Coturnix japonica: one gene and its partner. The protein of the gene in region 1 purifies or fractionates together with the protein of each later gene. This does not show direct contact. Links are inferred from orthologs where the notes say so. Each region holds a gene or a part of one and is shown on either strand. Other genes may lie near its edges. The genes, in order: SLC30A2 and METTL9.

Region 1 (11,128 bases):
TCCTCACACTACACCAGCTCAGCCTGGTAATGTAATATCACCTGGAGTGGGCAGAAGAGAGAGCAAGCCAAGGGAGATCTGGGTTTCTCTCTTTCAGCATAGGCTATCATAAAGTGATCTCTGCACTCAGCTCTGCCCTTTGCTCTTCTCTGCTCTTTGGAGCAAGAAAACAACCTGCAGCACTTGTGCCCCAAACACGGGCAAGGTCTGCATGCTGCACTGCTGACATAACCCAGCAGTGACCTGGGAGCTCTTCCTCACTCACAGTCCCACCCTGCAGCCTCCCTCACACCCCTCTTTTTTTCCCCCCTATCTTCTCCCTTTGCAGCTCCCTGCAAGTCTGATGCAGTATCTTACAGCTCCACTAACAAAATAAGGTACTACTTTTACCCCACGTGAGCCGATCAGTATTATTTTACCCTAATCCCTTCGTGGCAACGTGCCATTAACAATGACTGTGCTAGGGCAAGTTGACAAAGGCAAGAAGCCTTTCTCAGGCTCGCAGAACACCCAGCACAAGGGGATCAGAACAGCCATGAAGTGCTGGCAAATGAAGTGTTGGCAAATGAGTGCACACTAACAAAAGATTCAGTGTCAGCCATGCAAGAATGACAACAATAAAAACTGAAATGATAGAAGCTGATCGGGGATAATGCAGCACATGTTTATTTAGCAGGCCGCTGATTCTTTAATATCAGAGAGACAAATGTCTGCCAGGGGATGATTTAGAGCTGGGGCAGACTCCTAGCAAGCTCACATGAGCTTTCAGGTCCTTCCAGGGCTACGTATTGCTCTGAAATACTTGCCTTCCAACTTCTAGGCAACTCCATTTTCAACAGCCCCAACAGAAAGGATAGCAGTATCTACTCTTCTATTCCTCTACATACCATACATTTACTTCTCTTTGAAGTTATTTACCAGCTCAATGAGCTCTCTTAATTGCTTACTACATCTGGGAAGAGTTAAACGTTGGCTTACTACATCAAGACAGCCCCTTCCAAAGGCATCTGACATTAAGAAATCCTTCAGGGCTCTGCCTCAAGACATTAGTGCTGCTCATTAACCCTGCAGCAGGACTCTACAGGCCTGCACCTCCCCCTGTGGTGTTTCCCCAACTTAGCAAAGCAAGTCCTGGAGCCTTTAGCGTCGCATGGCTTCAAATTAAAAGATGCAGGTGATTGTTCAATAGATAAGCTCTTTTAAAGACATAAAATAAAGCAAACGATACCCTCTCCTGCCTAAATATACCTCAAAAGCCATCTTAGCTACCCACCTCCTTCCCTCCCAGCTGCACATCCACATAAGCACTTCCACCCCGTTACCTCAGCTTCATGTACCTGTAAATAAAGGGAAGAACTGGAGCCATGTGACATCTTCTGTACCATGCCATCTTTCTGCAAGATGCACTCCTCCAGGTGAATGACGTTGGGGTGCTGGCTCTTGATACTGCTAAGTGCCCAGAACTCACGCAGAGCTAGTTCCACGTTCTCTGGAGCATGGCACCGTATCTTTTTCACTGCCACCCGTGCAGAGGTCTTCCTGACGACTGCTTCGTACACCACACCATAACTGCCACGACCAACCTCCCGTATTAGATCGTACTTAGGCTGGCTACTCACCATCTTCAAGATCAAGGCTTCTGGGGAAGGGGGAAAAACCCACACAACTATAACTTATGAACAAGAACTGAGCTGTGTCTTCCCCCATATGGCCTGGCGTGGCAATGCCAGCTGCACCAACACCCTGCAGCGTGCAAGGAGGTCTCTGAGCATCACATTGAATGCAATGCTGTGCTCCAGTGCTGGAAGACTTCAGAAGTCACTCTTGTAAGCTTGAAGCCATAATAAGGGCTGGCTAATACATCATTTGGGTGGGACTATATGATTTCAAACACAGCTCAGCGTTCAAGAAGGCAACAATTCAAACCTAGAATTGCACTGCGCTGAGGCAGGGCTATCCCATATCCTGCTGTTCCTTTCCCTCAGTGTCTTTTGGGTTTTCCTATGCGAATAACAGGGCTGTTTCATGCTCTCCATCCACACCTGGGATATCAGAGAGTTTCTAGCTGAAACCTGCAGTTGAGGAGTAACAGGTTGAAACAGAGCTGACTTTTAAGATGACCGCATAGGTAAAGCTCGCTGTGATAACTTAACAATGGTTTTCCTTCTTCTGGCACTAAGATGAGATAGGAAGCATCACTGATCTTTTAACATCGCTATGACTTCCCAACTAGCTCCTACTGTCACAAGAAGCAGCAGAAGCACCCAGCTGACTTCGTTACTCCATAGGATATGGGGTGGAGCGATGCTCTATGAGGAAAACAACACACACAGCTCGGAATGGGGGAGGAAGAAGGGCAGCCCCACACCGTGTAGGCCCCGATGACCCCAATGCAATGGCAGCTGTGTCATACAGAACACCAGGGGAGGGCCAGGCCGGCAAGGCCGCAGTGAGAACTGCGTTTAAACGCCTTGATGGGGAAGGGAGGATCTCATCAGAGCTATTAACGAGGAGCTCGCGATTGATTCCAGTGCGGTAGGAACTATTTGTTCGGAAAAGAGAAAGAAACAGAGAGAGAAAGAAAGACAGGCATCATCAGTGCGAGGGCACCAAGCTCCGGCAAACCGAGGCCTCGCAAGGCCCCGATACAACACCCAGACCCCTCGTAGCTCTCCCACAACGCCATTATACCCCTGCCCGCCCCTCTCAACGCTCGGGAGCTCCGTGTTATGCGGTGGGACCCCGCAACACCCACCAAAGCCCCGCGTTACCTCCGCACTAAGGCCGCGCCGCCGCCGCCCGGCCGCCATCATAGGGACCGACCCCCCGAAGGCCACGCCCACTGACGCACCGCATTCTGATTGGCTGCGTGTATGTAGGCATTGGTGCTTATCTATTTCTTCTTTATCTATTTCCTCTTTATCTCTTTTTTATTTATCTCTTTTTTCGTTGCTTGGGGTGGGACAGCAAGCGAGCCTAGCTCCTCTGCTTCACTTTATCTGCGTGTCAGCGGCGCAGCTTTGCAATGACAGCCCCTTACCTATCCCTCTATTCGCCTATTTATTTACCCATCTATTTCTTCACCCATTTATTCACCTGCCCCATCATTGGCAGCGTCTCTGGGCTCCCCCGCTGTCCTCAATGGCAGCAGGGAGCAGATGGAGGTTGTGTTTACAGCGCTCGGGTTGGTTGGTTGGCAGCCGTGCCTGCATTGCTCGGAGCCAACTGGGGGTTGAGGAGGAGCCATTGGGGGCTGGGAAACCGAATGGGGCGTTCCAGCTCATCCTCTTGTGGGAATCCCCTTCATAAAGTCCAGCAGTGATGAGTTCAGTGGGCAGGGCCAGCAATGGGACAGGTGTGCATCCGGTCCCCCCCCCATTCCCTCCCTTACGGTGTGTATCTCAATGTACAAACCTCCTTGGAAGGTCTCCCAGTGCCAAAAAGGGGACAATGTTGCAAGATGTGCTTGGCTGGCTTCTGTGCTGTCACTTGGTTGACATGTGAGAGCCTTCCTGGAAGGAGCGTCTGGAACAGTCACAGGCTGCCCATGTCTGGGGGGTTCATCTGGGACAATATTAGAGCCCCTATAGCGTGCACCCACTGTGCTGTGTCCCTATGCATAAGTGTACTCATACAGCTGTGCACCCACGTATCCATGTGGTCATGCACCCATCTATCTGTGCACCCCTGTACCCTTTGTGCACCCAAGTAACCTCATTTACCCCTGTACTTGCATACTCATGCATCAATGTGCACCCATGCACCTGTGCACTCCTACAGCCCTCTATACAGATACCCCTGCTCCCATGTACCCATGCACTTGTGCCTCTGTGTGCCCATGGCTTTGTGCACCCACCACCCACTTACCGCAGCATCTCAGCACCCATCCCTTTGGCCACTTGCAGCACCTCCTACCCATTGGGCTCTATGGGGAACAGAGAAGCCACCTCACCCAACCCCGTCCTGTGACCCACAGCAGAGGTGTTATAATTATCCTCTCCCCTGCAGCTGCCAATATTTACAGGTCTCCCTGTGCACCGGCGCTGGGATTTGGAAGAACACCGTGTTTACTGGTGTGCCAGCTGACAGCCAGGCAATGTGATCAGGGCGGCTCCCAGCTGGGAGCAGTCTGGAGGGGCCACACTCCTGTTTTCCTGTTGATGTTTCTGGGTCAGGTTTTGCAAACAAGTGCAGGGCACAGCCGGGCATGTGGGATGTGCAGCATGGTGCTGCTGTGCTTGGGAACCCCCTTGCAGGCTGCTATATGGATTTTTGGGGTGCAGAGAAGCATGAGGAAGAGAGGGTGCACGCACCAAGCACATTTGCTGTATCCCCCAGGTGCTGCAGTTCAGCTAAAAAGCCATCAGCTGCCCTGCAGGTGCCTTTCACCCCACAAGAAGTTGCATTTTGAGGGTGCAAAGGGCAATGCAAACCCCCAGCCCGGTGCTTTTTCATCCTGACTCCCCAGCAGCATCGACCCCCCCCCAGTCTCTCGGTGTTCCCCAGCAGGGCCATACGGACAGCATGTCCCCAGCATGTCCCCAGCTTGTTTACTGCGGCCGCGCGCCTCGATTGTCACCGCCATGTGACAGCTGATACCTTCGGACAGCCGAGCCGACTCCACGTGATTGCTGGGCTATGGATAAAAGCTGCACGAGGGGCTCCGGCTCCAGAACTGAGATTGCTCTGAGGAGGAGCAGCAGTGCCGTACCAATGGATTTCCAGCCCAGCATCCTACGTGATGGCAGCCCCATGGAGAGCCTGGAGAAGCAGCTACTGTGCCCCATCTGCCTGGAGATGTTCAGCAAGCCTGTGGTGATCCTGCCCTGCCAGCATAACCTCTGCCGCAAGTGTGCCAACGACATCTTCCAGGTGAGATGAGGACCCCCCTGGACGTTGCCCTGCTCTGGGATGCTCTGCAGGGGCACCTGGGGACACCCCGATGTCCTTGTCCCCCTCCAGGCTGCCAACCCATACTGGCAGAGCCGGGGCAGCAGCATCATCTCAGGGGGCCGGTTCCGCTGCCCTACGTGTCGCCATGAGGTCCTGCTGGACCGCCACGGTGTCTACGGGCTGCAGAGGAACCTGCTGGTGGAGAACATCATCGACATCTACAAGCAGGAGTTCTCCAGGTTGGTCCTATGGGGACACAGGGGCAGCCACATCATTTTTGGGGGGGCGAGGAACCAGGGAGGCTGGCTTGGTGCTCCCCTCCCCACCTTTCCCTAACCCAAATCTCCACCTCACAATTGAGATCTCCATTCTCAACTCGAATCTTCACCCCCAACACAAATCTCCATCTCCCAGCCCAAACCTCCCTCCCAGCCTGTGCTGTTCTAGTCTGCGGTTGCTCTGTGGGGACAGGGGGACCCTAAGGGGGTGGCAGAAGAACGAATCCAGCCCCCATCCTGGCACCCTGCAGCTTTGGCTTTATGTTGAAGATAAGGGGTGTGAGGGACAAATCCAGGCTCTGCTTGTGACAGCAGGGAATGATAAGGGACAGGGGGACAGCCTGAGGGGTCTGACAGCATTACTTAGTGGCAGAGGTGCAGCAGGAGGGGGACAAACAGGGGGGTGATGTTTTTTAAAGGACCCAGACATGTGAGTTCATCTCCCCATTCTCCTGCCCCACTGTAAATATTGTTCCAGCTCCATGGGAACAGGGATGGAAGGCACGTGGCAGGTGGCAGCAGCCCCCGGGGGGGAGCTGGCGAACCCCCCAGTGGTGACTCAATGGCTGTCACCCCCCTGAGCTCCCTGGAGCCCCTGCCCGGGTCACGCGTTGGATGATAATAATAAATGCCAGCAGCACTCAGCTAAAATTAGGAGCTTGTGTAGCATCCCTGGAGCGTGGCCCCAACTGCTGCCATGCCTGATGACACACTGCTACAAACTGGGCTTACTGGGCATGCAGGAGGATAAGGCCAGGATCCGGTTATGGGGCAGTAGTTCTGCATTGGGTGGGGAGGTCACTGCTGTGGGGACGTCACCATGATGGGGACATGACGTCAATATGGTGGGGATGTCATTGTGCTGGGGATGTCATTGTGGTTGGGCTGCTCTCTCCAGCAGGCCGCTCAAGAAGGGGGAGCACCCCATGTGCAAGGATCATGAGGATGAGAGGATCAACATCTACTGCGTCACCTGCGAGGTCCCCACCTGCTCCATGTGCAAGGTCTTCGGTGCTCACAAGGACTGCGAAGTCGCCCCTCTGCAGAGCATCTTCCAGGGCCAGAAGGTGCAACATGGGGGGACATGGGGCCACAGTGGGGAATGGCCAGATCTGGGCGATGTGCTGAGCTAGGGTGGCTGCAAATAGCATTGGGATGCCTCATGGGGTATTAATAGGCAGCAGGCTGACTTTGACCAGGAGACAGGCCTATATTTAGTGCGATGCCCCCCCCTCTCAGCCTGTGGGATGGGGGCTGGATCGTGATACCCTGGCAGCACCCATCTGTGCCCTGCAGGGGTTAAAGCTGCTTCTGTCCATCTGTCCCTTCCCAGAGCGAGCTGAACAACTGCATTTCCATGCTAGTAGCGGGGAACGACCGCATCCAGACCATCATTTCCCAGCTGGAAGATTCCTGCCGCAGCACTGAGGTGAGGGACATGGAAACATCCCCCCAGAAACCAAGTGCTGGGGGAGGCAGCCCCTGAGCAGAGGACACAGGGGCTGGAAGGACACATCTTTGTCCCCATAGGAGAACAGCGAGGCGGCCAAGCAAGAGCTCTGCTCACGTTTTGATGCGTTTATGGCTCTGCTGGAGGAGAAGAAGACGGAGCTACTGGGACGCATCACCCGTGAGCAGGAGGACAAGACAGGCTTTGTGCAGGGCCTCATCCACAAGTACAAGGAGCAGCTGGAGAAGTCCAGCCGGCTGGTGGAGACGGCCATCCAGGCCATGGAGGAGACCGGCGGGGCCGCCTTCCTCATGGTGAGACCCCCAACCCCTAAAGCCCTTGCTTCCTATTGGGAGTCTGTTGTGCCACGTCCTGGTGGCACAGGGACATGCTGGGTGTTGCTACTCTGCCATCCTCACCTTTCCTCTTACTTCCACAGAATGCCAAGCAGCTCATTAAAACGTAAGTGCCCGAACTGGGGAAAGCTGTGGGATCCCCATCCCCTGCCAGATGTGGGTCATATGGCTCTGCTCTATGCTTGGGGCTGTGGGATCAATGCTGTGCTCCCTCCCCCAGCATTGTGGAAGCCTCTAAGGGTGGCAAGCTGGAGAAGATCGAGCAAGGCTATGAGAGCATGGACGCCTTCACAGTCAGTCTTGAGCACCTCGCCGATGCTGTCCGCGCCCTCGACTTTGAGCCAGGTAATTCCACCCCAAAAAACCCTTTGGGATCTGACAATGAAGGTCCTTCAGCAGCTGCCCCTCACTGACATCCGGTGCCTGTTTACAGATGAAGAAGATGAGTTCTATGAAGAGGTGGAAGAAGATACAGGAGACACAGAACCCGAAAGGGTGGTGGCAGGTAGGGCCAGCCCTCTCTGTGCCGGCACCAGCAGCATCACAGCGGAAACCCCACAGACAGAGGGGATGACAGAGGATTGATGAAGTCCCACTCACTGCCCTCTCCCTCTGCAGCCCCCCAGTAGGACACAGGATGTCCAGGACAGAACCTGGGGACACACTGACGGGGCCGGCCATCCAGCTCCAGTACAGGACACTTTTCTATACGGGTGCCAAGAGGACTATTCCGCACGTTTTATATGTTCCTTGTTTTGTATATAATTGTAATGGAGTTGTGTATTTTGTACAGAAAACTGGTGCTCTGGCTTTTGTTTTCTTTTCCTCTCTCACCTCTCGTTTTCTCACCCTGTGATGGGTTTGGGGATGTGGGAGTGTTCTCTGCTATGGGATCAGTGCCCAATTCTCAGCCTAATTAACACCTCTGGTGGCCTTGGCACCTCATGCTGGCTGTGCTCCCGGGATGTGACAGGTCAGCACCCAGCAGGATTTATCCCAGTGCTTACCCGGCCTCGGGGACATGGGGTGACGGTGCTCCAAACTCTGCCAGCCCCAAAAGGGGACAGCATGGAGCTGAGCTCACATGGGTCCAAAATCACAGCACAGTCGGGTTCTTCTGTGCCAACATAAACCCAGCTCAGGGTTGAGGGTAAACTGAGGCAGTGCTGAAAGCAGAGCCCAGAGCTGGAGTCAGCCCCACAGCAATCAGTGCTGCTCCTGGGGGCAGTGGGGTGCAGTCACTGCTATGGGGGTGTCCAACCACAAACTGGGGGGGGGGGGGTTGTTCCCATGGTGGGGAGGGGGTGCACCAATGCAGCTCTGTCCTTAAGGGATGCAGCCACATCCTGCATGCAGGTTAAGATGTGCTTCTGTGTGATACACATGGGGATGCCCAGAGCAGCCCCTCCGTGACCCCGAGAGCCCCCCGGCTGCGGGCTGCGGCACGGCCAGCGTGGGGCGAGGCTCAGCAAGCGATTTGCAGCCGGCTTGGCCCTCCTCCCCCCGGCCTTGCTTTGCACACGGGTCCCGGTGCTTCACACGGCCGCGGTCACAGCTGCCACCAGCTCCGGACCCGCATCGGGGTCAGCAGCGCCGGACCCCGCAGGATGGCAGCGGGCGGAGGGGAGAAGCAGCAGCTGCTGGGCGAGGGAGTGGGCAGGTAAGAGGGTGAATGGGGGGGGGGCTGGAAACCTGCGTGCACCCCTCTCCTCACTGTGCTCCCGGATGGGGTCTGCCAAAGCCATCTGTTTAGGGAGAGGATCTGGGGAAGGGGACACGTCGGAGCAGGGCTAAATGCAAAGAGCGGGCTGCAAATCCCTTCCTCCCTCCCCCATGTCCCCCAACCGGGTGCCCCGATGTCACCTTTCCCTGCAGGTCCTACTTGGGGATGGTACAGAAGCACACAGCCGGCTCAGCGCAGGGCCAGGCGCCCACCCTGGAGCTGAGGGCACGGCACCGCCGGCACTGCCATGCAAGGGGGGCTGATAGCGACCCCCACCAGCAGCAGCGGGCACGCAGGAAGCTCTATGTGGCTGCTGGCATCTGCCTCATCTTCATGGTGGGGGAAGCTGTGGGTGAGTGAACGCTGGGTGAACACATTGCCCTGCATGGCCCCTCTTGTCTCATTCTGTGCTGTGGGTGCAGGCGTGGGGCAGGCAGGGCACCTCGTTTTGCCATGGGATGCCCATATGCTTGGATCTGGATGGGGATCCCCCATCCATACCACAGGTGGGTACCTGGCACACAGCCTGGCCATCCTGACGGACGCTGCCCACCTCCTGACGGACTTTGCCAGCATCATGATCAGCCTCTTTGCCCTCTGGGTGTCCTCACGTCCCGCCACCAAAACCATGAACTTTGGCTGGCACCGGGCAGGTAACCTCAGGATCCAGCTACAGCCCCATTGTGTGCCATCCCTATGGCACAATGACATGGAGGGCTGTCTGCAGAGATCCTGGGGGCCCTGCTCTCTGTGCTGTCCATCTGGGTGGTGACGGGTGTCCTGGTGTACCTGGCGGCCCAACGCCTGCTCTTGGGTGACTACGACATTGAAGGCAGTGTCATGCTCATCACCTCTGCCTGCGCCGTGGCCGTCAATATTGTGTATGTATGATGTGCTGTCAACCCCTGGGCAGGAGATTGGTGGCTGGGGAAGTCACTGCTGCCCTGCCTGCAGGATGGGGGTGGCTCTGCACCAAACAGGCCATGGGCACAGCCATGGAGGGGCTCATGAGCAGCCCCACACCCACGAACAGCCCAATGCCAGCGTCCGTGCTGCCTTCGTCCACGTGGTGGGGGATCTGCTGCAGAGCGTCGGCGTCCTCATTGCATCCTACATCATCTTCTTTAAGGTATGGAGGGGAGGGAGATATGGGGGACATAGTCTTGTCCAGCCATGAGGTGAGATGGGGTTGATTGTTAATGGGGATTTGGCTGCACTTGTTGGGGTTTCACCTGCTTCCACCCCTCCCAGCCTGAGTACAAGTTTGTGGACCCCATCTGCACCTTCCTCTTCTCCGTTCTGGTGCTGGGGACAACGCTGACCATCCTTCGTGACGTCCTCCTCGTCCTCATGGAGGGTAGGGAGCCCCCCAGAGTGGTGATATGTACCCCCCTCCCATAAGTGCCTTATCCCCATCCCACCCCGTGTCCCTCCAGGCACCCCCAGGGGGATGGACTTCAACGCGGTGCGGGACACTCTGCTGGCGGTGGGCGGCGTGGAGGCGGTGCACAGCCTGCACATCTGGGCGCTGACAGCCTCGCAGCCGCTGCTCTCTGTGCACATCGCCATCAGTGAGTGCTGAGGGATGCAGGGCCGGGGAATGGGATATGGGGGTTCCTCCGGCCCCCAACAACCCTCCGGGCTCCTTGTAGATGCGGATGCCGACTCGCAGGAGGTGCTGGAGGAGGCCAGCTCCAGGTTGCAGCGTGCCTTTCGCTTCCACACCACCACCATCCAGATCGAGAGCTACTCCGAGGACATGCGGGACTGCCGTGAATGTCAGCCCCCCAGCGACTGAGTTCCACCCTGTCCCTCTCCCACCAGTTTTTTTTAATAGGAGGAAAATAAACGCGAGCAAACAGCAGCGCCGGGTGCCCGCGGGGGCTGGGTTCGGGATGGGTGATGTTGAGTCTGGAGGCAGCTGGGCTTTATCGGGGAGTGACGGCAGTGAGAGCAGAGCCCGGGCTGCAGGAGGGGGCGGAGGGCAGCGCTTGCTTCTCTTTCCACTATTTTAGCTGTGAAAAGCGTTTGAAACAATGCTTTTCCCCCCCAGCTTTGGGGAGCGTTGGGGGTAGAGAGGGGTGGAGGGGTGCAGGGGGAGGAGCCCTCGATCCCACTGTCCCGTTCTGGGGGGGAGGGAGGACCGGCTCGCTCTGCTCTCACCTCTTATCGCAGCTCTGTTTACCTTTGGGAAGCTCAGCCCTCCCGGCCAGCTGTTAGCAGAGTGGGGATGGTGGCAGGAAAGCATCACAGGGACACAGGCACGGGATGTTGGCCTTGCAATGTGTGGAGCAGGGCTCGGGGACAACACATGGGAGCACAGCAGTGGCTGCTGAGCCCAGAGGTGCTGTGAGAGGTGGCACAGTGCTGTGCCATTGCTGGGTACAGAATGCTCACCCCGTGTCAGACTTCACACCTCCACCGACCT
Region 2 (11,246 bases), on another chromosome or scaffold:
TCAATATCTGAGCTTTTTGTTGGTGCCAACAATGTATGCTGGGGAATTAAGAACACGGCTCTTACCTCATGTGTCCTATTTACCTATCATTTCATACTTCTCAACAAGCACACTACAAATTAGTTATAACTAAGTCAAATAAGAACATGTCAATTATTTTAAAAACATTTAATTCAGAATAGGGCCACATACAAAAGTTTTTAGTTGCCTAAATAGCTACTGATCCATGTACTTACCATTTTCCACGTACGGGTGAAATGGCAGAACTAATGCTAGAATGACTCTGCCTCTAGTTGGCTCCAGTACACTTCTAATATCTTTTAATACAGTCAGTGGCTGATCACAACGATCCAGCAAATTCAAACAGCTGATAACATCATACTGAAATCCTGTGTTCTGCCATTCATTTATACCAAGCACCCTACGGAGAGAGAAAAAGAGCCAAGTTCAGAGGGAATCACTGAGGATAAAAATTCCCAATTGATGTGCTGATAGCACAGAAAGATCAGCCAACCAGGCAGTGAGGAAAGGCAGACGCTGTCCTTCTAGTCCTATGGAAAACTACTCAACAATAGGCATGGCTATACATTCAGCCACACCTTCATACTGCCATATAAACACCAGGGTATTATTAAAGTCTGATGTCCTAAATTAAAACTGAACATACTTCTCAAAAGTAACAACAAAGCTGAAATGTGATTAATAGTTTGCAGCATTTAAACCACCCTGACTTACCAGTGTGCAAACCCAGTTGCTATTAATTTTCCTCTTATGGACAGGGAAGAAGAAATCAACAGTTCCTTCATTCTTTGTGTTGAAGTCTAGGGATACAGTACCCCAGACACTAAGCAATATTCAACAAGATCTGCTGCCTACAAGAACTTCCAGCTGTTGTGATTAGAGCACAACAAAGTTCTGAAAGTGATTAAGTTTTTGTTCAAAGTACTGTTAATCTTAATAGCAAGAGCTAAGTATAATAAAAGATTCTTTACAAAGCAGTCTACAATCATAATTTTCTGAGTGATTAGGTGGAGATACCTGAATAATCTGTGTCTATAACCAAGATTCAATTTGCTTGCTCTGCAGCCCCATCAGCTCCTCTTGCAATTTTGGACTGTTCATTCATCAGCATCCAAATTTTGTCTCCCTAATTGCCTTCTTTAAAGAAATTTACACAAACTACGAAAAAAGAGACTTCAAAACAGTTGTTGCCAATTTTGTCTTAACTGGTAACGGGGAACATTTGCATATCAAAAGCCCTGCTAACAAGGAATATCAGATGTGTTTGCATTATTGTTTTTGTACAGTTCAATCCTTTCCATAAAGATCAAACAACATAAAAATAAGCTGAAAATACTGGACATTTATAAAACATTATAAAGATTGTTTTGCTGTAATATCTGGTATAAACAATGTAGGGCGCATTCAGAACAATACCTGTATTTTTTCTTCTGAAGCTGCCATATCATAGTTTCAGACAATTCAGTGGCATAGATTTCTTCAAAGTGAGGACTCATGACTTTAGTAACCTCTCCATCTCCTGCTCCTAAATCGAGCAGTCTGTGGGATTTCCATTCTGGATTTATTTTAAGCAGTCTTTGAAATTGTTCTGGGGAAAACACAAACATTGAGCCCCTTCCCAGCAGCCTGAAAGGTGAAGATGAGAAACATTCAATTTCAAACAAGCTTGAACAGGAAGGACAACAAAGTAATTTAAAATGTGCTTTGGCAGCAATCAGTCACACAATATAGATAAGGTCACTACTCAGATAAATTTACAAATCCACTTCAACTTGCCTTCTACTTGTCAGAGACCACACAAACACATGGCTACATGCAGTTTTAGTGGCTAAGACTTCAGGAGGGATTTGATCAGGAAAGGAGCTTGTGGGCTGCAAAGCAAGAAAATGATCACACACAAAAAAAGCAGGGAGGGGAGAGATAAAGACTAAGCCCTATTTGTCATGTTTGCAGATCTGAATCTCTCCCACCTACCTAAAAAGGAGAAAGAAGACAGAGCAAAGGAAACAGCAGAATGGCTGCAGACAGAAATACTCACAGAGAATAAGGAATAGGATTCGGAACTAGGAGGGACGGCAGGGAAAAGATTTAAAGAAAGCATGGGGATAGCACTGCTGGAGTGGCAAAAGAAAAGACTTCTTAATTGTGTGATACAATGGCTTTTGCTGCTATCTGCAGACCCTGCATTTAACACGAAGAGCTGTCAAACAGAAAATAGGTAAGTCATTAAGGTATTGGGTAGAGGTGACATTTGGATTCTTTATGTATCACATCAATGGCACACACACCCAAAACTGACTGAAGGCTACACAGTGACAGATTTCTGCTGCCACTGCAGAATTCAGAAGATGAAAGAGTTAGGAGAACAAGCAGAGGAAGAAAGAATGGGTCAACGGCAGACTAAAGGTAGTAAAAAATATGTACTGTTTAAACTCATGTTGGATAGCAGGTTAAATTTTAGAAAGAATATGAGCAGAAATCTTATGATCAAGAGGAAAAAAGGTAAACAGATAAAAAGGATGAAAGAATAAAAAATCTGAAAAATAAGAGTTCTAGATACACTATTAAAAACAAACACCACCAACGTAAGGATAGGCTGTACAGGTATGTAGAAGAAACTACAGAAGGATATTAAATATATTTTAAAAACAAACAGAATACAACCAATTTATGCAGAGCCCCTTTGCAGCACACTCATGTCAGTCTACACTGTCTAACTGGCTCCTGGCTATTAAGCATAACAGCACTATGAGGAGGTACTCAAAGCACTGGAGAGCCTTTGAAAAAAAAGAAAGGAAAAAAGAAAGAGAAAGGAATATGAGAAGACCAAAGGAACCTTTATGTAAGCCTACAAGCACTAAAAACACCACAGGGAAGCTCAGAGACACCTGGTTAGAAAATAGAGAAAGATTATTTTCCAAACCTTAGTAGCTACTGTCCTCAAATCAGACTGTACGGAAATATGGACAGATGTGGGGATGGTGGAGAAATGGGGAAATGCAACAAAATGCATTCTTGATAGAGTCAAAAGTGCCAAGTTGTTACACACGTCAGAGCAAAAGAGAAGTGAGTAGAAACTCTGACTTTTTGGGGTGACACACGAAAGCAGCCACGAACAGCAACTTCTCCCACAGCCAACCACAGGAGAAACCAACGTGATGTGACCAGGAGAGCGATGGTTTATGAAATCCTCTATTCCCACCTCACTGACGTTTCATCAGTCAAATGTGCCACACCAGAAGCTACCTGTTCAGGTATAGCTAATACAAAAACCATGATGAAATTAAGTTTTAATGGATAAGAGGAAGGACAGAATCCCATTCCACTTAAGTGTTACAAGACTTCACTCAGCAACTTCTGCATCGTTCAGAAATCTGCCTCATTTTGCATCAGCTATGCACATAAGCCTTAGAGCAATGCAGATCTAACTGGACACAGCCACCTCCAATGAGAACAATCACAATGGGAAACGCTACAGAAATGGCAGCAGATAAAGGGCAAGGAGGAAGAAAAAAAAACAACAGAGAGGAGTACATCATCTAGCACAAAGAAAATACTCTCTTATTTGAGAGGATAATCAGGAGGAAATTAAGTAATGATTACAAAATACAATTAGAGCCCTATGCCTCTCTCCTGACTAATTGCTAACATTCCCTCTGCCTTGCTTATACTGGAACTGGTGTTGTTTAATTAATTGGGTTTAGGGGAAGAGCACAGTAGGGCCTTGCAGAAGGTAGTTTGCCAAAGGGGAAAGCACAGAACCTTAAGAAAAGCTGATATGTCAAGAAGCAAGGCTCAACACCTGAAAAACCTACATCCAAAACGTATGTAGTTTACCTAAGATTGACTTTTCACTTACCCATTGATAGATGTTCTAGACATAAAAAGGCTAAAAATTGAGGACACAAAAGAGTGATAGAGCTGGATAAACAGCCAGCCTGATTTTTCAATGCTGTTGTTTAAGAAGATCTGCGTTCCTTGGTCAAGGTAACTCTGGACAAAAACAGGCTGAAGGGATTCAGACAACTGTTCTGTGTTGCAGACATACCACTGCAGAAAGAGACAAAGGATCGTTAAAAAGTTCAGCAATATAAAAATAGAACCGTTAAAAAGAAATTGAACACAGAGAGCTATTATCAGTTTCTGTAAATACAAAAATTGAGCTTTCCCTCAAGGCTTTTAAACAGGCTTCAGGATTAATTAACTCAGATACGAGCTGTAATCAAGTGCGGACAGATGACTCACTATAAATAACACTTACAATTTTATCTTAATCACTACTTTGTACTTTAAAGAATTTTGTCCAACAACAGTTCCAGAAAGCTATCACAATGCTATGGGACAGCAGCACAGGGGTGGAACAGCATGAAGGGGGACTATGCTGCTTTCTGACTCTGCTCTCAACTTGTCACTGTGTGTCCCTGAAAAGATACAGGAAGTTCATCTGCAATATTTTCTCCAGTTAGAGAGAGAGAGCCTCCAGCAGAGGAGCAAACATCCTCCAGCTGAAGTCTGAACACTCCATGTACTGTGGCTAAGTTGCTGGCAGAACCAAACCCTCAGCAATACTTCCAAGCACACGAGATCTTCTCCTCTCAAACCCACATTTAATGAAACCCCGCACTGTATTGCAGAGCCCAGCACAAGGATCCTCAGGACCGATAACTGCCAGTTCGGGTCCTTTCTCACTGCAGCACAGTGGTACCTGAATGAACCTGCACAGACCAGTGATGCCCAGAAGGATCCTTAGCAGACAGTGAGCAAGCACTCAAAGCAGAGCAGCCAGCACACTTTGCCCATCCATCTGCTGATGGCAGGAGTGGACAGGCCCATAGAGCCGAGGAGCAGGCTGCGATGTGTGTCAGCTCCAGCAGTTGTTGTGAGGCTGCTGCCCAGCCACAGCAGGCGGGCACAGAGCGGCTCCTCACATTGCCATGTTCAATGGAGAAGGAAATACATCCCAGTACCAAAGCTGTGGGAAACACACACTTTGATTCCTAAGAGGTATGAACACCACATGCAGTAACTGAGCTCATATACCCTATAATAATGCTAGTGAGTATTAGAAGTGATACTAAACTGTAGGGGAAAAAAATGACAAAAATCCATCCAAAATAAGTGGTGAAAAACAGCTTAATTCTGCAATAATCCCTCAAAACAGAACTTGCTTTTGTATTCCTCCATGTCCAATTCCTGACCAGCCCTTTTCATGCCACTAGTTTCGTAACAGAAAGTGCATCAATCTGGTAGAGCACAACTGTAGAAAAACTATATACAGCCCATCAAAGAAATCTGAAGAGGAGTTTTAAGGTGCACTGAAATCCAAACCCAGTAAGTGGGAGCTGCTGACAACCGACCTGTGAATGACACCGCTGCCTTCACAGCACGTATTCTTGATCTACTCGTCTTTCTAGTACGGTTTTTAACAGGAAACACTTGCAAGTTTCCTTTGTCCAGAAGAAGGAAGGTTCTTTTTGTAACCTCGGTTTCTGTCATCCTACCATCCACTGAACGACCCGAACGCAGGCTGAGCTCCTGCCCAGTACCAGGCTCACTTGGCCGCAGGGCTCTGGGTGTCGCTGCCCACTCAGAGCACAAAAACCCTCCAGTAACAGACCAGCCCGAAGAACGACGATGTACGTGCTCTTCCTTTGTACAGCAATCCTCAAGTACTTGTATCGTATCTTCCTTAGATAAAGCAGCAGCTTCCTTCAGCTCTGCACGAGTCACCTCCCGTCCGAACTCCTGACAGACCTTCAGCGGCATTTCAGCGAACTGTCCCTCAGAGCTGATCGCAGCTGACAGCCCAGACTGACAATCTGACTACCCCAGAGCCGCCGAACGGCTCCGACGTCCCCGCAGTGCCCCTGGCCGTGCCCGTGCTGCCCAGACACAGCGCTGACCTTCCCCTGCAGTTCTATCGCCCCGCAAACTCGGCTCCACTTCGGCTCCCGCCGCCCCTCCAAGGCCTCAGCGCGCTTTGTCGCGAGCTGCTCGCAGCCTCACGTGTGTTCTTCCGGACGCACCGGCACCGACACGGCGCCGTGACACCGCGAACCCACCGCGAACCAACAGCGAACCCAGCGCATCCACCGCGGCGCAAACACTTCGCTCAGGCGGCGTTTCCCAGCGGGACGAGCAGCCCGGCGGCTCACACAGCGCATAACCCAGCCCGGCTCACACAGCGCATAACCCAGCCCGGCTCACACAGCGCATAACCCAGCCCGGCTCACACAGCGCATAACCCAGCCCGGCTCCCCCAGCCCGGCTCACACCCAGCCCGGCTCCAGCCCCGGTTCGCCGGCCCGGCTCCCCTCAGCCGTCCTTCCCCTCCCTCCTCTCACCCGGGGCGCACACGTCAACTTTCTCGCCGTACGGACGCGTTTCGCCGCCGCTCTTTGTCTCGCCCAGGCGGGCGCTGCCCGGCCCCGGGTCCCCTCAGCCGGCACAGGGCCGCCCCCCCGGGCCGCCCCCCCCGCCCCACTACCTCGGGACTCCCGGCCCCCACCTCCTGCGGCGCTGCCCCGCTGCCCCCAGGCCCGGCGGACGCGAGGAGGGGGCGGGCAGGGCAGGGCAGGGCAGGGCAGGGCGAGCGGGGGCCGCTGTCCGTACCTGGTGGGTCTCCCCGGCGCTCGGCGCGGTCGGGCCGTGGCTGCCCATCATATTCGCGTAGAGGGACCTGGATAAAGGGCTCCGCAGGTACCTGGCGGGACCAGCCCACATCCTCCTCCTCAGCTCCCACAGCAGCACGGTGTAGCAGCCCAGCCAGCACAGCCACAGTCTCATCGGGGGACGGGGCTCGGAGTCACCCCCTCCAGCAGCCGCCGTCTCCCCTCTCCATGGCAGCGGCGCCCCAGCAGGGCCCGCACGTCCAGCTCGGGGCGGAACGCGGCGTCAAGGCGGCGGGACCCGGCCGGACCGATTCGATGCGACACGCCGGGACTGGCGCGCGCCCGCTCCGCGCTTCCTGTCGCCAATCGCGGGATGGCGGGGCGGTGCTGCCCACACAGCTCACGCTGATCACACTGATCACACACAGCTCACACACAGCTCTCACTGCTCACACACTGCTCACACACACAGCCCTCACAGCTCACACACTGCTCACACTGCTCACACACATCTCACACACAGCTCACACACAGCACACACACAGCACACACAGCTCACACACAGCTCACACACAGCGCACACAGCTCACACACAGCTCACACTGCTCACACACAGCTCTCTCACTGCTCACACACAGCTCACATTGCTCACACACAGCTCACATTGCTCACACACAGCTCACACTCAGCTCACACAGCCCTCACCGCTCTCACAGCGCCCAATGGCGGTGTCCGACCCGCCGCTCGCCCCGCCCCGCCAGCCGCGTGCCCCGAGCTGCTGCAGCGCGAGGCGCGGGATGGTCGGCGTTGCACCGCACCGTGCAGCACGTGCAGCGCGAACTGCGCACAGTGTGAGTGCGTGCACAGCGTGCGAGGGAGTGACCCAGGAACACGGCACGTGCAGCTGCAGTGTGCCCTAAGCACGGAAATAGAACTGAAATATAACAGCTCTGGCTTCTGTTACTGTTACAACAAGGCGACTACCAGAACGAGTAATCAAAATCAGACGATCAAAACCGATACCGTGGGGAGAAGGGATTTTCGATGAGGCAACATTCCGTTCACAAACGCCTCCTGGTTCTGCGGGTCCATCCAGCTCCGTTCAGACCGACACCGCTGAGTCTCCATATGTGCCTTTACAAAACCTTCTTCCTGAGCTGACGGGATAGAGCTCACAATTACTTGTGGAGATGTGGCTTATCTGAACTGTTCTGTCCTTTCCTTCCTCATCTTTCCCGACAGCTCCAACTAAGATACACAGCCACACTCCAATGTAAACACCCCACTAGTCTATCGACCCAATGTGTTCAGGAATTACCGAGCAGTTCCAGTCACAGCAGGACATTGTTCTTGGTACAGAACAAGAGGAGCCAGCTGTGGGCTACACAAGAAATGAATCTCTTTTTTTCCTACTTCAATACTCTTTGATGTCATTTACTCTTCCTTCAGGTCATAACTAATCACACAGCAACATTTCTTACTATTAAATGACAATTTGATAGACACCTTATCAATGTATTACTGTAATACGGTGTATTATTGTGTCATGTTGCGTATTAAGATCAAAATTCGCAGAACTTCTAAAGAAACTCTATGAAGTAACGAGATGAAGCATCACACTTCCCATTCTCTGATGTTATCAAAACACTTCCTATTCTATATTATACATACTTACATTCCCACTATCACTATGAAGCTATTTTTAAACGCTGTTAAATCATCAAGAACAAACTGTGGCACTTTTCCAGCAGTACGACTCCAAACTCAGATACTATGAGCTAATAGGGAGAGAAAGCAGGCAAACAGCTGTTAAAAGACACTGAGCTTTTGCATTTGATCATCCATTATTTGATTCGTGGCCAAGAGCAATCGTGTTGGTTTAGCAAAGGATAACAAAGTTTAATGAATGACAGAGAAAAGGAGAACAAATTATGTCAGTGATGAAACACTGTCAGCTTCCTACCACTATCTCTTGTAGTAAGACCACCGCCTCAATTGAAGCCAGTTTTTCACTTCTCTTTTAGATTGATTATGGATGTGATTAAATATGCTTGCTTTCTCCTGCCCTCATAGCAAGAGAATTAGGACAGTGTGTGCAAAACAGAGATAGGATTCAATGTTTCTGAAATAGTATAAAGAAATCTTTATTCTAGAAAAATCACAGGATCCATTCAAAAACTTGCCTGAAAAGATTCTGGTGAGGCTAAATCAGAAATTAACATCAACTGGATGAATGATTCATCAATTAAATTCAGTGGTGAGCACAAACGAATCTGCCAATCTCAAACTACTAAGCAGGTAGAGTTGGACTTAATGTGTGCACTAAGATTTGTCCCGACGTACTGAACGCTGCTATATCCATATGCTCACGTTTTTCTTACCACAATGACATTTGGTATAAACTAACAACACTGCCTCAAAACAATTTGCCCATTCAAAACGCCAGGAACTACATCTACCTGCCACCAAATGCAGACATTGTGAAAGCCAAGGAGGAAGTATGGCGCCTTTTCCATCACACTTAATTGAATAACATTTAAATATTTTCCTTATTTAGTTTTACAGAGATTTTTGTACAGGGTCTCTTCCTGTAGCAGCTGGCAGCTTTGAGTTGATACTGGCCAGCTGGACACCAGCTATATGTTTTTCTTCATCTCTTTGCCATCCCTGAGGGACGTCCCTCTGGGCTCTTATGGCCTAACCCCAAAGATCTGACATTTCATCAGCTATGACCGAATTCATCCACCACCATTCAGTAAAGCTAAGAACAAACATCCCTCAAATTCCAAGTGCTGAGCTGGGATTCCCTCACCTGATCTGCCATATCCATTCTTCAAAGCAGGTAACAGTGACCAGTATACACCAAAAACAACTTTGGTAGTAATTATGGATAAAGCACGATACTTTCAAATAACTCAACTCAAAACCCTCTCTATATAGGCTCATCATTAAGGCTGAATGTGAATTATTTTCCATTACAGAGATGGGTGCAACACTACTGAAATGGCTCAAACTGTATTTGGTCTAACAGTCTGCTTAAGGCCATCTTGCTTTTTCACACTTAATATATGCTAAGTCTTTTGTGGTATGGTCCATTTAATTACCAACAGTCAAATATTCAGTGTGCAGCCGTCATATGACTATTCTGGATTGAAAAGGGAGTCCACGTCAGGATCTGTATGACTGCAACGCCAAGTGGAACCAGACAGATCAAATAGAACATGGCATCATGAAGACCTACAAACAGACTGGTGAAAAACATGAAAACATGTTAAAGCTTTTAAGATGAAGGAGAATCATTTTCTATGGTCGTTTCATAACAAATTACTTTAAAGCATTCATCTTAAATATTCACATACACATTACTGTGAACAATCAATACTAAATAAAGGAAATATCTCAGATATCAAATACGTTTCAGTTATATTTTGTGATTCTACATACAGATATATTTCATAGTGTTTACTTCTCTCATAATAGCTGGGAGGAAATGAGATAACTACATTACTACACATCTGTATTATTTAATACAGAAAATAATTTAAAGCAATGTGATTCAATTATAGAACAGAGCATCAGAAAAGGTTTAGTGGTGCTGCATGTTTTGGAAGAGAGAGAAAAACAGCAGTAGGAGCAAGCAGTTTGATATGGAATTATTTCACATCTGAATTACTAGCTATCCACATAGCATGTTACTATAGTTGCTGAATGCAAGGTGGGAGTTATGATTAATGCACAAAGCGCAGGTGTGGTGCAATAAATTGGCTGCTTGAAATGGGAAGACTAATTTCATCTCACTGTTTTGAAATAAATTTTTACAAGATAATGGAAACCACCAACATAATACACAGATTCTCATTCGTTTTCCTGGATGAATGGTATTTCTTGATCTAAATCTTCTTAAGGAATAAAAGCACCCACAACTATGAATCACAAAGGAGAATATGAGACACACATAACTCTTCTTCTGATACCCAGTGTGGTTTCTGACACTCAAAGCACACATTCTGGCATTCATTGAGTAACTGGAATCATCTACTGACACTCTGTTCATTATTGGATTTTAATTACTTAAATATCAGGAATGTCAACTCAAGCTGAGAAATAGGACCTAAATTATATTTCAGAAAATCAGTTTTTATCATTTACTTCTTTTCCTTAGCATTCAGGGATGAGGACTGAAGACTCAGAACAGCTATGGACACAATGCAAAAAGCCTTGAAATCTGTGAACAAAAGTCCTGTAAAACTGAGCAGGGTTTTGAATGAAATCTTAAGAGTTTATCTCAATCATAAAAGAATGAACTCATGTCTCACTGTAACAGAAAAATGCTCACAATCTCCAGCATAACCTACATTTATTCCTTAGTACATAGCTACACACACCCACACTGATCACAGTCTATCTCAAATCACGTACATGCTAATGCTCCATAAGGAAACAAAAGCCCACAGGCTCTCACATGAATTAATCACTCGGGCAATCACATTTAAGAAATACAAACTGTTAACCAGTATATCACTGGTCCACAGCCAATGTTTATTGGCAGAGGCAACAATTTACCACTTGGAAGTTGTTTCCTGGCCTGTACTCAACTGCATTTTCAGCACAAGT

Evidence for each region.
Region 2: the proteins of SLC30A2 (region 1) and METTL9 purify together in Homo sapiens (co-immunoprecipitation; 3 studies listed by BioGRID and IntAct, with this or other methods). This does not show direct contact. The link is inferred for Coturnix japonica from reciprocal best matches to the Homo sapiens genes SLC30A2 and METTL9.

Annotation. Positions count from the first base shown.
Region 1 is NC_029538.1:2,857,762-2,868,889, forward strand, and holds SLC30A2 (zinc transporter 2), read left to right. Parts: upstream 1-8,306; 5' UTR 8,307-8,584; coding exon 8,585-8,637; intron 8,638-8,852; coding exon 8,853-9,052; intron 9,053-9,206; coding exon 9,207-9,353; intron 9,354-9,427; coding exon 9,428-9,581; intron 9,582-9,654; coding exon 9,655-9,829; intron 9,830-9,951; coding exon 9,952-10,057; intron 10,058-10,136; coding exon 10,137-10,271; intron 10,272-10,352; coding exon 10,353-10,498; 3' UTR 10,499-10,584; downstream 10,585-11,128. Other genes in the region: serine/threonine-protein kinase PDIK1L, read right to left, coding at 1,338-1,622; E3 ubiquitin-protein ligase TRIM63, read left to right, coding at 4,639-4,872, 4,963-5,132, 6,070-6,238, 6,505-6,600, 6,702-6,935, 7,061-7,083, 7,198-7,322, 7,411-7,482 and 1 more.
Region 2 is NC_029529.1:8,376,626-8,387,871, reverse strand, and holds the start of METTL9 (methyltransferase-like protein 9), read right to left. Parts: upstream 7,062-11,246; 5' UTR 6,808-7,061; coding exon 6,634-6,807; intron 4,072-6,633; coding exon 3,881-4,071; intron 1,648-3,880; coding exon 1,438-1,647; intron 422-1,437; coding exon 237-421; intron 1-236. Other genes in the region: transmembrane protein 180, read right to left, coding at 9,751-9,880. UniProt on the Homo sapiens protein: Protein-histidine N-methyltransferase that specifically catalyzes 1-methylhistidine (pros-methylhistidine) methylation of target proteins.